Canis lupus familiaris: one gene and its partners. Each later gene encodes a partner of the first gene's protein in a complex. Links are inferred from orthologs where the notes say so. Each region holds a gene or a part of one and is shown on either strand. Other genes may lie near its edges.

The links.
Region 2: KAT7 (region 1) and JADE3 share a complex: the UniProt entries of both Homo sapiens proteins name them as parts of the HBO1 complex. The link is inferred for Canis lupus familiaris from reciprocal best matches to the Homo sapiens genes KAT7 and JADE3.
Region 3: the proteins of KAT7 (region 1) and BRD1 are in contact, whole or in part, in a crystal structure (PDB 5GK9), measured with the Homo sapiens proteins. The link is inferred for Canis lupus familiaris from reciprocal best matches to the Homo sapiens genes KAT7 and BRD1. Residues at the interface, in NP_008998.1 of Homo sapiens: Leu531, Phe534, Gly536, Lys537, Glu538, Ile539, Ser540, Ile541, Lys542, Pro552, Val553, Val556, Gln560, Leu565, Tyr567, Lys571, His572, Leu573, Val574, Leu575, Lys576; in XP_047297239.1 of Homo sapiens: Val40, Ile42, Glu43, Ile44, His49, Arg50, Ile51, Ser52, Ile53, Phe54, Asp55, Pro56, Leu57, Glu58, Ile59, Ile60, Leu61.

The regions. Positions count from the first base shown.
Region 1 is NC_049230.1:25,820,238-25,823,884, reverse strand, and holds part of KAT7 (histone acetyltransferase KAT7), read right to left. Parts: intron 1,152-3,647; coding exon 1,005-1,151; intron 454-1,004; coding exon 347-453; intron 1-346. UniProt on the Homo sapiens protein: Catalytic subunit of histone acetyltransferase HBO1 complexes, which specifically mediate acetylation of histone H3 at 'Lys-14' (H3K14ac), thereby regulating various processes, such as gene transcription, protein ubiquitination, immune regulation, stem cell pluripotent and self-renewal maintenance and embryonic development.
Region 2 is NC_049260.1:40,877,337-40,880,983, forward strand, and holds part of JADE3 (protein Jade-3), read left to right. Parts: intron 1-651; coding exon 652-1,122; intron 1,123-2,980; coding exon 2,981-3,098; intron 3,099-3,647. UniProt on the Homo sapiens protein: Scaffold subunit of some HBO1 complexes, which have a histone H4 acetyltransferase activity.
Region 3 is NC_049231.1:18,266,983-18,270,729, reverse strand, and holds the start of BRD1 (bromodomain-containing protein 1), read right to left. Parts: upstream 2,308-3,747; 5' UTR 2,237-2,307; coding exon 2,200-2,236; intron 403-2,199; exon of another isoform or gene 349-402; intron 1-348. UniProt on the Homo sapiens protein: Scaffold subunit of various histone acetyltransferase (HAT) complexes, such as the MOZ/MORF and HBO1 complexes, that acts as a regulator of hematopoiesis.

The DNA of each region.
Region 1 (3,647 bases):
AAAAAGGGAACGAGACCCAGTAAAAGATACATGTAGGCAAACTCCTTTAAGGAGTAAAGGCTATTGGGAAGCCCGGGTGGCTCAGTAGTTTAGCACTGCCTTCGGGCCCAGGGTGTGATCCTGGAGACCCGGGATCGAGTTCCACATTGGGCTCCTTGCGTGGAGCCTGCTTCTCCCTCTGCCTGTGTTCTCTGCCCCTTCCCTCCGTCCCCTGTGTGTCTCTCATAAATAAATAAAATCTTAAAAAAGGAGTGAAGGCTACACCTTTCAGGTGTTAAAGCCCCATTTACTCTGCTAAGCCTCAAGAGACATTCAGCACTGAGCCAGCAGCTGACCAAAACTTTACCTGTCTCTTTAGAACTAGATGTTTTCCTTTCCAGTACTTGAGCATCTGAAGGGCTTGCAGAGTACTGACAATGTCCACAGGATTCACAGCTGTCTCCTGGCTAATTTCTGAAATAGAAGCACTCCTAAGAACTGGGCCAAAGTGCAGACACCCACCCCCACCAGCCCCCCACCCTGCTTTAAAGGAAACCCAGATGGTTGGGATTTCTGATACTCAACCCAACTTGTTCAGAAAAAGTTTATGAAGCATTTATTTGATCGGTCCTAATAACTATGAAAGAGAACTACTACAGGAAGAAATCACCCTGGCCCCTAGAGATCATGGTCAGAGACAGGACAGACCTGATTTCTTCTACCCTTCCATAAACATACAGATGTCATACCAGCTCCTCTGTTAGCCAAGACTTAGAAAAAAGGGAACATTTTTCTTTTATCTTGACTTTAATTCTTAACAAAAGTGTTAACTACCCCAGGTTTGTGAAACCAAAATCATATAGCCATTACCAAAGGGCCAAATGCTCTGGAATCCTTAGACAACTTTCATGAGATCTCTGTAGTGGCCCACATCCAGGGGGCCTTCTCTTTGCAATGAAGAAACTGGAATGTTTCCTGGCATTAACTTCTTGGGTACCAGCTATCCTAAAGAGCCAAAAACCAACCTTTGATAGAAATCTCTTTGCCTTGGAAATTATGCAGGTAACGGAGAAGCACTTCTTTCCAGTAACTGCGATAGCTTATGAGCCCCAGGTCAGAGAGGGGACGCTCCGGGGAGCCAACTTTTTCTTCCACTTTGGAAAGCAAGTAACCTACAGGGGAACAAAATGCAGACACTGTATTTCATTCTAATAACAAACACCATGGTGTCAACATGGAAGGCTTGAGAAGGACAGGCTGCTTCATGGTACCAATTAGGCATCAGATATTCAATGAAATATGGGGTGGCTGCTGTACAGTGTGCTGCCTTGTGATAAACCACAGGGGAAGAATGGTGTGTTTGCATTTAGTTGTATTAGTCATTAAGAAAACTCTGCAAGGTTCCACGAGATAGAAACTTTAATAACAATGGTAATCTGTAGGTGCAAACTAGGAATAGAAATGGGAAGCCATTTCATTACATCGCTTTTTCTATTTGAGACTTTTAAGTTTTTATAGATTATTATCTCAATGCTGGATCTCACAAAGCCTCTGGTTCTAACATTTGAATGTTAAACATGATGGGGATGCAATCTGAAAAATCCACTCTGCAAAACTAACCTGCTTTCAACAAATAGGTTAGAATTACAAGAGTTGGAGTGAGAACTTTCAGATTAAAAGTAATTTATAATTCACAACTATCAATTCCAACGTGAATTCCATTTGGAATTAAGTAAGAATAATTGCATGTGGGGAGGCTTGGGTGGCTTAGCAGTTGAGTGTCTGCCTTTGGCTCAGGGCATGATCTCGGAGTCCCAGGATGGAGTCCCACATCAGGCTCCGTGCAGTCTGCTTCTCCCTCTGCCTATGTCTGCCTCCCTCTCTCTGACTCTCATGAATAAATAAAATCTTAAAAAAAAAAAAAAAAGAATAATTGCATGTGTTTTCTTTAAAAGGAATAAAAATCACAAAATCAGGGAAATCTGAATACTGTAACTTAAAGTATTAAGGAATTTGGATTTTTTTAAAGATTTTATTTATTTATTCATTAGAGACACAGAGAGAGAGAGACAGAGACAGAGACATAGGAAGAAGGAGAAGCAGGCTCCATGCAGCCTGACATGGGACTCAACCCTGGGTCTCTAGGATTCAGGCCTCTGGCTGAAGGCAGCACTAAACCACTGAGCCAACCTGGGCTGCCCAATTTGGTTTTTTAAGACATGAAATAGAGCTTATCTTTTAGAGATGTCTAAGTAATTGAGCTTGAGAATAGAGGTGTAACAAGACTGGCCATGAGATGCTAATCACACTTACAGGGAGTTTTATTATCCAGCTCTTCTTTAAGCTTTATTTTAGGGACATTTTCAAACATATGAGCCCAGGTGGCTCAGTGGTTTAGCGCCACCTTCAGCCCAGGGCCTGATCCTGGAGACCCAGGATCAAGTACCATGTCGGGCTCCCTTCTTGGAGCCTGCTTCTCACCCTGCCTGTGTCTCTGCTTCTCTCTCTGTGTGTCTCTCATGAATAAATAAATAAAATCTTTTTAAAAATTAAAAAAACCTTCATTTTATGGACATTTTCAAACATTTATAAATGTTCCCAAACATGTCCATGAAATGAAATGAAAAAGTCCATGAAATGAAGTTTATAAAAAAAGTATTAACACCTATTCCAAAATACACAAGATATAGTTACCCATCCCCCCATGGATTATGCCATTTCCTGATTTCACCACTTCCCAGGGGGTATAAACATACAATTGGAAGGCTAACTCTAAGAATTGTAATTCTGACTAAAATGTCGTATGACAGTGAACAACGAATAAGATATAGTTGATTCTCATCATTTATAGTAGTTATGTTCTGCAAAGTCACTGCAAGCACTGAATTAGCAAACATGAAACATGCTCCTAGTGGAAACAGGGTTAGGTTTCTCAAAGTCTCTGGTCATATTTACAACCCATCATTATGGTCATCTCATTTTATGTGTTTGTTTACTAATACGTTTTAAAAAATACATTGTTGACTCATTAGCATCAAACTCCAGCCCAACACCAATGCTTGAATGAACCCTATCTAATACCAGTGTTTTCTCTGTAAGGCACTCAACAACAGCCTTTGTAGATGGCTTTTCTCAGCCCTACACCTAGGGGCAATTTAAAATCAGCAACCAGGGGGTGCCTGGGCAGCTGAATGGCTGAGCATCTACCTTCAGCTCAGGGTGTGATCCCAGGGTCCTCGATTGATCAAGTTTCACATCAGGCTCCCTCCCTGTAGGAAGTCTGTTTCTTCCTCTGCCTATGGCCCCCGCCCATTTCCCATGAATAAAATCTTGGGGGAAAAAAAAAGTCAGCAACAAGGATGCTTCCGTGGCTCAGTCAGGCTAGGCATCTACCTTCAGCTCAGATCATGATCCCAGGGTCCTGGGATTGAGTCCCAGGTCAGGCTTCCTACTCAGGAGCCTGCTTCTCTCTTTCCCTTTGCTCCCCTCCCCCTTGGACTCACACTCTTTGTGTCTCTCTCAAATAAATAAAATCTTTTTTAAAACTAAAATCAGCAACAATATGCACAAAAATATGAAAAGTATGGCAATAATGGACCGATTGACTGCAAAAGTGCCAAAGAATATTGATTTGGGGATTAAAAATAAATTTGAGGGGATCTCTGGGT
Region 2 (3,647 bases), on another chromosome or scaffold:
GCTACTTGTGGCTAGTTGGCTACTATGTTGGACAACATGGCTCTATAAGAATAATTTCAAGAAGTTAGGTTACCTAGATAATTGGAGATCCTGTGGCCTTTTTAGAACCACTAGATGCTCTGGCAATAATATTGACTTTGTTGGGTTTTTTGTTTATTTAGAAGCATTTTTTTAAAAAAGCATTTCTTGAGCATCTGCTTATTCAAAAGTTGATGCCAATGCAAATTTGAATGACACAGCTTCTGTCTTTAAGAGCTCTAGCCAGGGATTTGACATTTACTATACTGTTAAGTACAGTGTGAAAAGTACCACTATAGAAGCATATAATAAGGTGATGTGGGGGACACAAGGTATAGCATGACTCTTCACAAAGGGCAGGGAAGATTTCCCAGAAAAACTTAATGCTTGAGCTAAAATCTTAAAGAAGTTTGAAATATATATATATATTTTTTGCCTCTGTTCTTTCTGTGTTCTATACAAACAGATTTCTGGGTTATTTGTAAAGTATCTGTTGTCATTTTAGGGCCAGTTTTCTCCCTGGCTTTCCTTTGCTTCCTGTGACCTCTCAATTTAAGCCCAGGGATATAAGGTTTCCCTCCTCCTCCCCACCCTCCAGCCCTGCTGCCTTTAACACCTCTTTTCTTCCTACAGTGCTCTGTGAAAAGCTGCATCACTGCCTTCCATGTCACCTGTGCCTTTGAGCACAGCCTAGAGATGAAGACCATCCTAGATGAGGGAGATGAAGTGAAGTTCAAGTCATACTGCCTCAAGCACAGCCAAAATAGGCAGAAACTCGGGGAGGCTGAGTACCCCCTACACAGGGCCGCAGAGCAGAGTCAGGCCAAAAATGAGAAAACCAGCCTGCGGGCACAGAAGCTTCGGGAGCTGGAGGAGGAGTTCTATTCCCTGGTCCGCGTTGAAGATGTGGCTGCAGAGCTGGGGCTGCCAACACTAGCCGTGGACTTTATCTATAACTACTGGAAACTGAAGCGGAAAAGTAACTTCAACAAGCCATTATTTCCTCCAAAGCAGGATGAAGAAAATGGCCTGGTGCAGCCAAAAGAAGAGAGTATTCACACTCGCATGAGAATGTTTATGCATCTACGGCAAGACCTAGAGAGGGTAAGGTGATCAGCTCTGGCTACTGTTTAGGTCTAGGTCTGCATAAAAATGGAGGCCCTGCTTCCAGTTTGTCATTTTCTAAAGGTCAGCTCATTTATACTGTGGGCTTCTGTGTCCTTACTTATCTTCTGATTACACCGTGGCCCCAAACGTTAGACTCTGTTTACATTTTTGGCAGGCACTTTCTGTCTTTTTTTTTTAAGATTTTATTTATTTATTCATGAGAGACACAGAAAGAGAGAGGCAGAGACACAGGCAGAGGGAAAAGCAGGCTCCATGCAGGAAACCTGATGTGGGACTTGATCCTGGAACTCCGGGATCACACCCCGAGCTGAAGGCAGATGCCCAACCCCTGAGCCACCCAGGCAAACTTTGCCAGGCACTTTCAAGGGACTTGGAGGGCCCTCGTTTATATGCTATATGAGCCTTAAATCTGAAAGAAATTTTCATTTGGCTTACTTTTTATTCACCGTTGAGCCTAAATTGGCTCAGCTATATTTTACTGACACATAAGACTATGGGCTGAAGAAAGAATGAATTTCATTGAGGAAAGAACTAGATCAGAGTTTCTTAAACTTGGCACTGCTGACATTCTGGCTGGATAGTTCTTTGTTGTAGGGGACTGTCCTTTGTTGTGGGGGATACTGTTAGATGCTTAGCAGCATCCCTGGCCTCTACCCAATAGCAAATACCCACACACACACATACAACATACCCACTGTGACAACCAAAAATGGTTCCACATTACCAAATGCCTCCTGGGAGGTCAAAATCGCCTCTGGTTAAAAGACTCTACACCAGATAAGTCCGTTTAACTCACTTATTTAAAGATAAGTTAGGCCCTGTGTTTACCCTAGATAATTTTATAATCAAGTATAATTATAGAGATGGCTTGTTTTTCTCTCTGCTACCAGAATTTGGAAGGGAATAGATTTGGCTCACTTTGTAAAATTTAACTCACACATCTATAGCACTTACTATGTGGCAGCACTGTTCTAAGCATTTCATAAATATTCACTCATTTAATCCTAACATGTCTGTGAAGAAAGTACTATTGTTTAGCCCTTTTTACAGAGCAATAAACTGGGGCACAGAAAGGTGGGGTGATTTGTCGAGGTGGGATGGGGAGTATGGGAGCATGAGGATTGCACCCTTGTGGCTGAGATTTGGCCAAGCTAGAGGTGTAAACAAAAAAGCCACTTTCAGTCTTTCCAGCAGACTTTTATCCTGCTGGTCCAGTACTCATTAGAAAATTGTACTGGGGGGATCCCTGGGTGGCTCAGCGGTTTAGCGCCTGCCTTTGGCCCAGGGTGCAATCCTGGAGTCCCGGGATCGAGTCCCACGTCAGGCTCCCTGCATGGAGCCTGCTTCTCCCTCTGCCTGTGTTTCCACCTCTCTCTCTCTCTCTCTCTCTCTCTCTCTCTCTCTCTGTACTCTCATAAATAAATAAATAAAATATTTAAAATAAAAAAAGAAAATTATACTGGATCCAGCATCCCCATTGTTTTATACAGGGATCTAAAGGGAAGGCCACAGTGTTAAACCATCACTCGGTCTTCCTCAGTTGGCTGTGCAGATAAACATTGAGCGCATCACACTGCAGGGAGAGTAGGTTTCAGGGAGTGGCTTAGGAGCGTTTTGCTTGTGCTGCTGATTGATATGGGAACCATGATCCCACGACTGATCGTGCTACATGAATTCCTTTACAGTGGCTCTGTCTTTTGTGTTCTGTCTTCTCTCTTCAGCCACCCCTGTACCTCACTTAATTTTAGTTGTCTTAATTTTAGCTAAAAAATTTCAATTGTCAGGTTTCTGTAACATGGCAAAAATCTCTATTTGCTGTATGTTGGGCTTTCAGGTCCGAAATCTGTGTTACATGATAAGCAGACGAGAGAAACTGAAATTATCACAAAACAAACTACAGGAACAGATCTTCGGTTTGCAAGTCCAGCTTGCTAACCAGGAAATGGCTGCAGGTAACTTTATATTAAAGATGTCCTAATATAGACTGGTTATATCCTATTTTAACAATTTTAATTTTATGGCAGTTGTTTTACTTAAAAATCTTGTAACATTCTTGTCAAATATCTCATTTGCTCAAGTCCAACCCTGATACAACATGGCCCATTTCAGTGTTGACTCATGAGGCAAGAAATCCCAAGGTAGAGTTGGGGGACTTGCAGGTGTAGGGCAGATAATCTAGGTGTCAGACAGATATTAAGGGCCATTAGTGAAAACCATGAAATTATTCCGTAATCATCAAATTCATTTAGAAATCAGTAGGATAAGACCTAATCCTAGTTTCCAGAAAACGTTTAATTCCAAGGTTAAACAAACCCTTAGCCAATAGTTAGGAGATATAGGTTCTGTCTCTTTACTAATATTTGTTGAAGACCTACTGTGGACTAAGAAGCGAGCTAGGAAGTAGAGCAGTCAGCAAGACAAAATCCCTGCCTATAAGGTGTGCTGCCCACTTGGTGAGAGAGACAGGTGAGCATAATTACAGTGCCCTAAACATGGAGAGC
Region 3 (3,747 bases), on another chromosome or scaffold:
GGCCGAGCACCGCGGGCCGCCCACCTGCCGCCGCGGGGACGCCGGGCGCGGGCAGCTTCCCGGGCGGCCAAGCAGACGCGCGGCCTGTTACATAACGACCCGCTCGGCTCCGCGGCCGCCCGCTCCGCGGCCTCCCCGGGCCCCCCGGGCCCCGCCCCCGCCCCCGCCCCGATCCCCGGTCCCCGCCCGGCCCCGGCCCCGGCCCCCCCCGCCGCCCCGGGCCGCCCGCCCGCCCGCCCGCCCCGCCGCCCGCGGACAATGCGCCTCCCGCCGCGGCCGCCAACATGGCGCCGGCCCCCCCGGCCCCCGCCCGGCCCGGCCCGGCCCGCCGCCCCCCCGCCCACTCACCGTCGGGGCCGCGGCGCGGGAGCCCGGGGGGCGCGGAGGCCGGCGCGGCCCAGGCGGCGCTAATGGCGCCCGCGGCTCCCCCGCCAACGGCCGCGCAGGCCCGGGCCGCTCTCCGGGCGCGGGGTGCGGGGGCGGCCGCCGGGGCGGGCGGGGCGGGGGGCGCGGGCGGCGGGCGCGGGCGGGCGGGGGCGCGGGGGTCGGACGCCCGGGCCGGCGCGGCGCTCGCTCCCCAGCGAAGCAAACAATGCGGCGAGCGCTCCGCCCGGCGCCCTGCGTGACGGACGCGCCCCGCCCGCCGCCGCCGTGACGCACGCCGCCGGGGAGGGGCGGGGCGGGGGGCGGAGCCGGGGACGGAGGGGCGGGGGGGGAGGGGGAGGGGGAGCGGGAGAACCGGAGGGGAGGGGAGGAGGGGAGGAGCCCGCGACGGAAGGGCGGGGGGGGGGGGGGAGGGAGGGGCCGGGGACGGAGGGAGACGGAAGGACGGCAGAGGAGGGGGGGGGGGGGGGGGGGGGGGGGGGGGGGGAGGGGAGGGGCCAGGGGACGGAGGCGGGAGAGGGACAGGACCTGGGCAGAGCGGACAGAGGGGACGGGGAGGATGGAGGGAAACGTGGCTGGAGGGGGGACGGAGGGGAGGGGGAGGGGGGCCGGAGGAGGGGGGTGACGGACGGGGAGGGACCAGGGGTCGCAGTGGGGGGACGGAGGGAGGGAAACAAGACCGGGACGCGGGGGGCGGAGTGGCGGGGAAGGGGGGGATGGAGGGGGAAGGGGGGGAGGGGAAAGGGGAGGAGGGGGACGGAGGGGGACGGGAGGGCCAGGGGACAGAGGGGGAGGGGGCGGAGGGACGAAGGGACGGAGGGGGCAGGACTGGACCCCTGGGCTGAGGGGGGCCAAGGGAGAGGACACGGAGGGGGGAGGTAGGGGCCTGAGGGAGGAACGGGACCCTGGGCCAGGCAGGGAGGGGGCGGCTGGCCTGGATGAGGGGGAGGACGGGACCCTGAGGAGGGGCCTGGACCCTGGGGGCGGAGTGGAGCCAGGAGCCTGGAGGGGAGGACGTGACCGTAGGGGGCACCAGGGAGGAGGGAGGGGTGACCGGACTGAGGCCGGGGTCCCTGGGCGGGGCCAGAGAGGGCAAGGACCGAGGGGCGCCAGCGGGAGGGGGTCTAACCGCAGGGGACAGGACACAGGGCAGGGGACCAAGGCCACAGACTGGAGGCGCCGCGGGGCAGGTGACTCCGGGGCGTCTAGGGCGGAGCCGAGCTGGTCCCCTGGTTTCCGGAGGCTTCGCGGGCTCGGTGTCCATGAGGACGGCTGGGGCCCCCGGCTGCAGGAGCCGCCCCTCGCCTCCGCCCCGGGTTCTCCCAGGGAGACATCTCCTCACCAGGGCACGCAGAGCCGAGTCCACCGCCTGGGACCGTGCTGCGGAGGCCTCCCTTGGAGTGTCCCGGGTGGGAGCCCCCCCAGCCCTCTGCCCACGGCGCTTGTGCCTCACGGCACCCAGCCGATGGATGAGAAGTGAAGGCTTGGAGGGTGGGCGAGGGTGGCAGCCAAGGCTCCCCTCGAAGCTGCTGCCCCTGCAGATACATCGTTGGGCCAGGGCAGGGCTGGCCAGGTGCTGGGGCACCAAGCATGTGGGGACCAGCGCCAGGAGCTGCAGGTGCCCCCCTGCTTTACAGAGGCCTGCTGATCTGACGCCAGACTTGCCAGGACGCCCAGGGGTGGAGGACGACGGAGCCAGGCGCAGCCCTGTGTCCTCGACCTTGGGCCAGCCAGGGGCACACCCACCCGCCCCAGCAGGTTACAACCCAGAGCCCGAGTAGGAGGAGATGAGAACCAGGAAGCCTCTTCACACACCTGGAGACGGAGAATGGCTTCCCAGGTGGCAAGGCATGCCCGGGAGAGAAGAACAAATTCATGTCAGAGTGACGTTCCCAAATTCCAGGGATAAAGAGACCACCTCCAAAAGCTTCCAAGGAGAAGGATATTGTTTGGTCACACTGAGCCTGATTGCCACTCGGCAAGGAAGCGGTTGTCAAAATTCTAAGAATTGAACCGAGAATTCCCTGTATGACGAAACTCGTTGGTGAGACAGCAAAATAAGGGTGTCTCCACAGTCAGTAAACATCCAAGTTTACCAAGTTACGCACAAAGTCTCTAAAAAAAAAAAATGCTGGAAGATAGACTCCAGCAAAATGAAGAGTATGTCCAAGAGTAAGACATGGATGCCAGCAGAGAAAATCAAATAACAACTTGAGAGAAAATCCCAGCTGAGCCCCACACAGCATACGGTGAGGGGCGATGACAGCGCAAGTTCTCGTATTGTTGGAGGACTTCAGAGTTGGTAGAAAGAAGTTGGGAAACTGAAATGAAGAAAGATTGGCGGTAGCAACAAAAAGCAGAAAAAGATAAATGCTTGGTAAGTAAGGAATATGATATAAAATGACAGGAAGAAATTCAAGTATTCCAGGAATCACAAACATGACTAAATTAATCCATTAAAAGATAGAGACTCTCAGACATATATCATTAGGTACTATTTACAAAAAAAAAATAGTCTAAAAATGTCACAGAGAGATTGAAAATAAAAGGATGGACAAAGTGTGTACCATACAACTTTCATTCTTCGGTAGACTGTAAAGAGAATGGACAAAAAATTAAAAACCGGAAAATAGTCGAACAGGTATACCTTGCAAATGATTAGTGTCCAGAATCCTTTCAAATCCATCAGAAAAAAAAAAAGCCAATAGAATGACACACAAAATCCATAACCAGTCTCCTTGAGGGGAAGAACATGAAAGGGCCAGTAACCGCATTTGTAATTTTGGGGATGCAAACAAATCACACCAAATGAGCACAAATGTGAAAGTCCAACCCAGTGATGACGGGAAGGTGGATCAACTGAGATACGCGCACGCTGTGTACATGGCACAACTGTGTCGGTAAATAACAAGACACGACCCAACAAAGCTGCATGTGGTACCGGTTACGTGTTCCCGCCTAACAAACCAGCTGCAAGACTGTCGCTCAAAATGATAATTGTTCCTTCTGCACACGGAGCTGCCGTGTGCAGAAGGAAACCATAGGCAGGGTTCAGCAGGTGCGGCCTGTCTAGTCCCCGCTGCAGCCCCTGGGATGTCCCTATGCGGGCTGGAGGGCGCACTCCAAGGTGGTGCACTCGGGTGGCCGGTAGGCCGGTTCCAGCTGGGGACGGAGTGGGACCGTGTCCCGAGTCCCGAGAGAACCAGGAGGGACCTGTATCACTTCTCCCATAGTAGCCAGAAGTCACCTAGTGTCCCTTGGGCCCGAGCCTGTCCAGATTCCAGAGATGAGACAGTGCCCTCTGCCCTCGGTGGAGTGTCAAAGCCACATTTTAAGAGGAAGGAACGTGCTATGGAAGAAGCC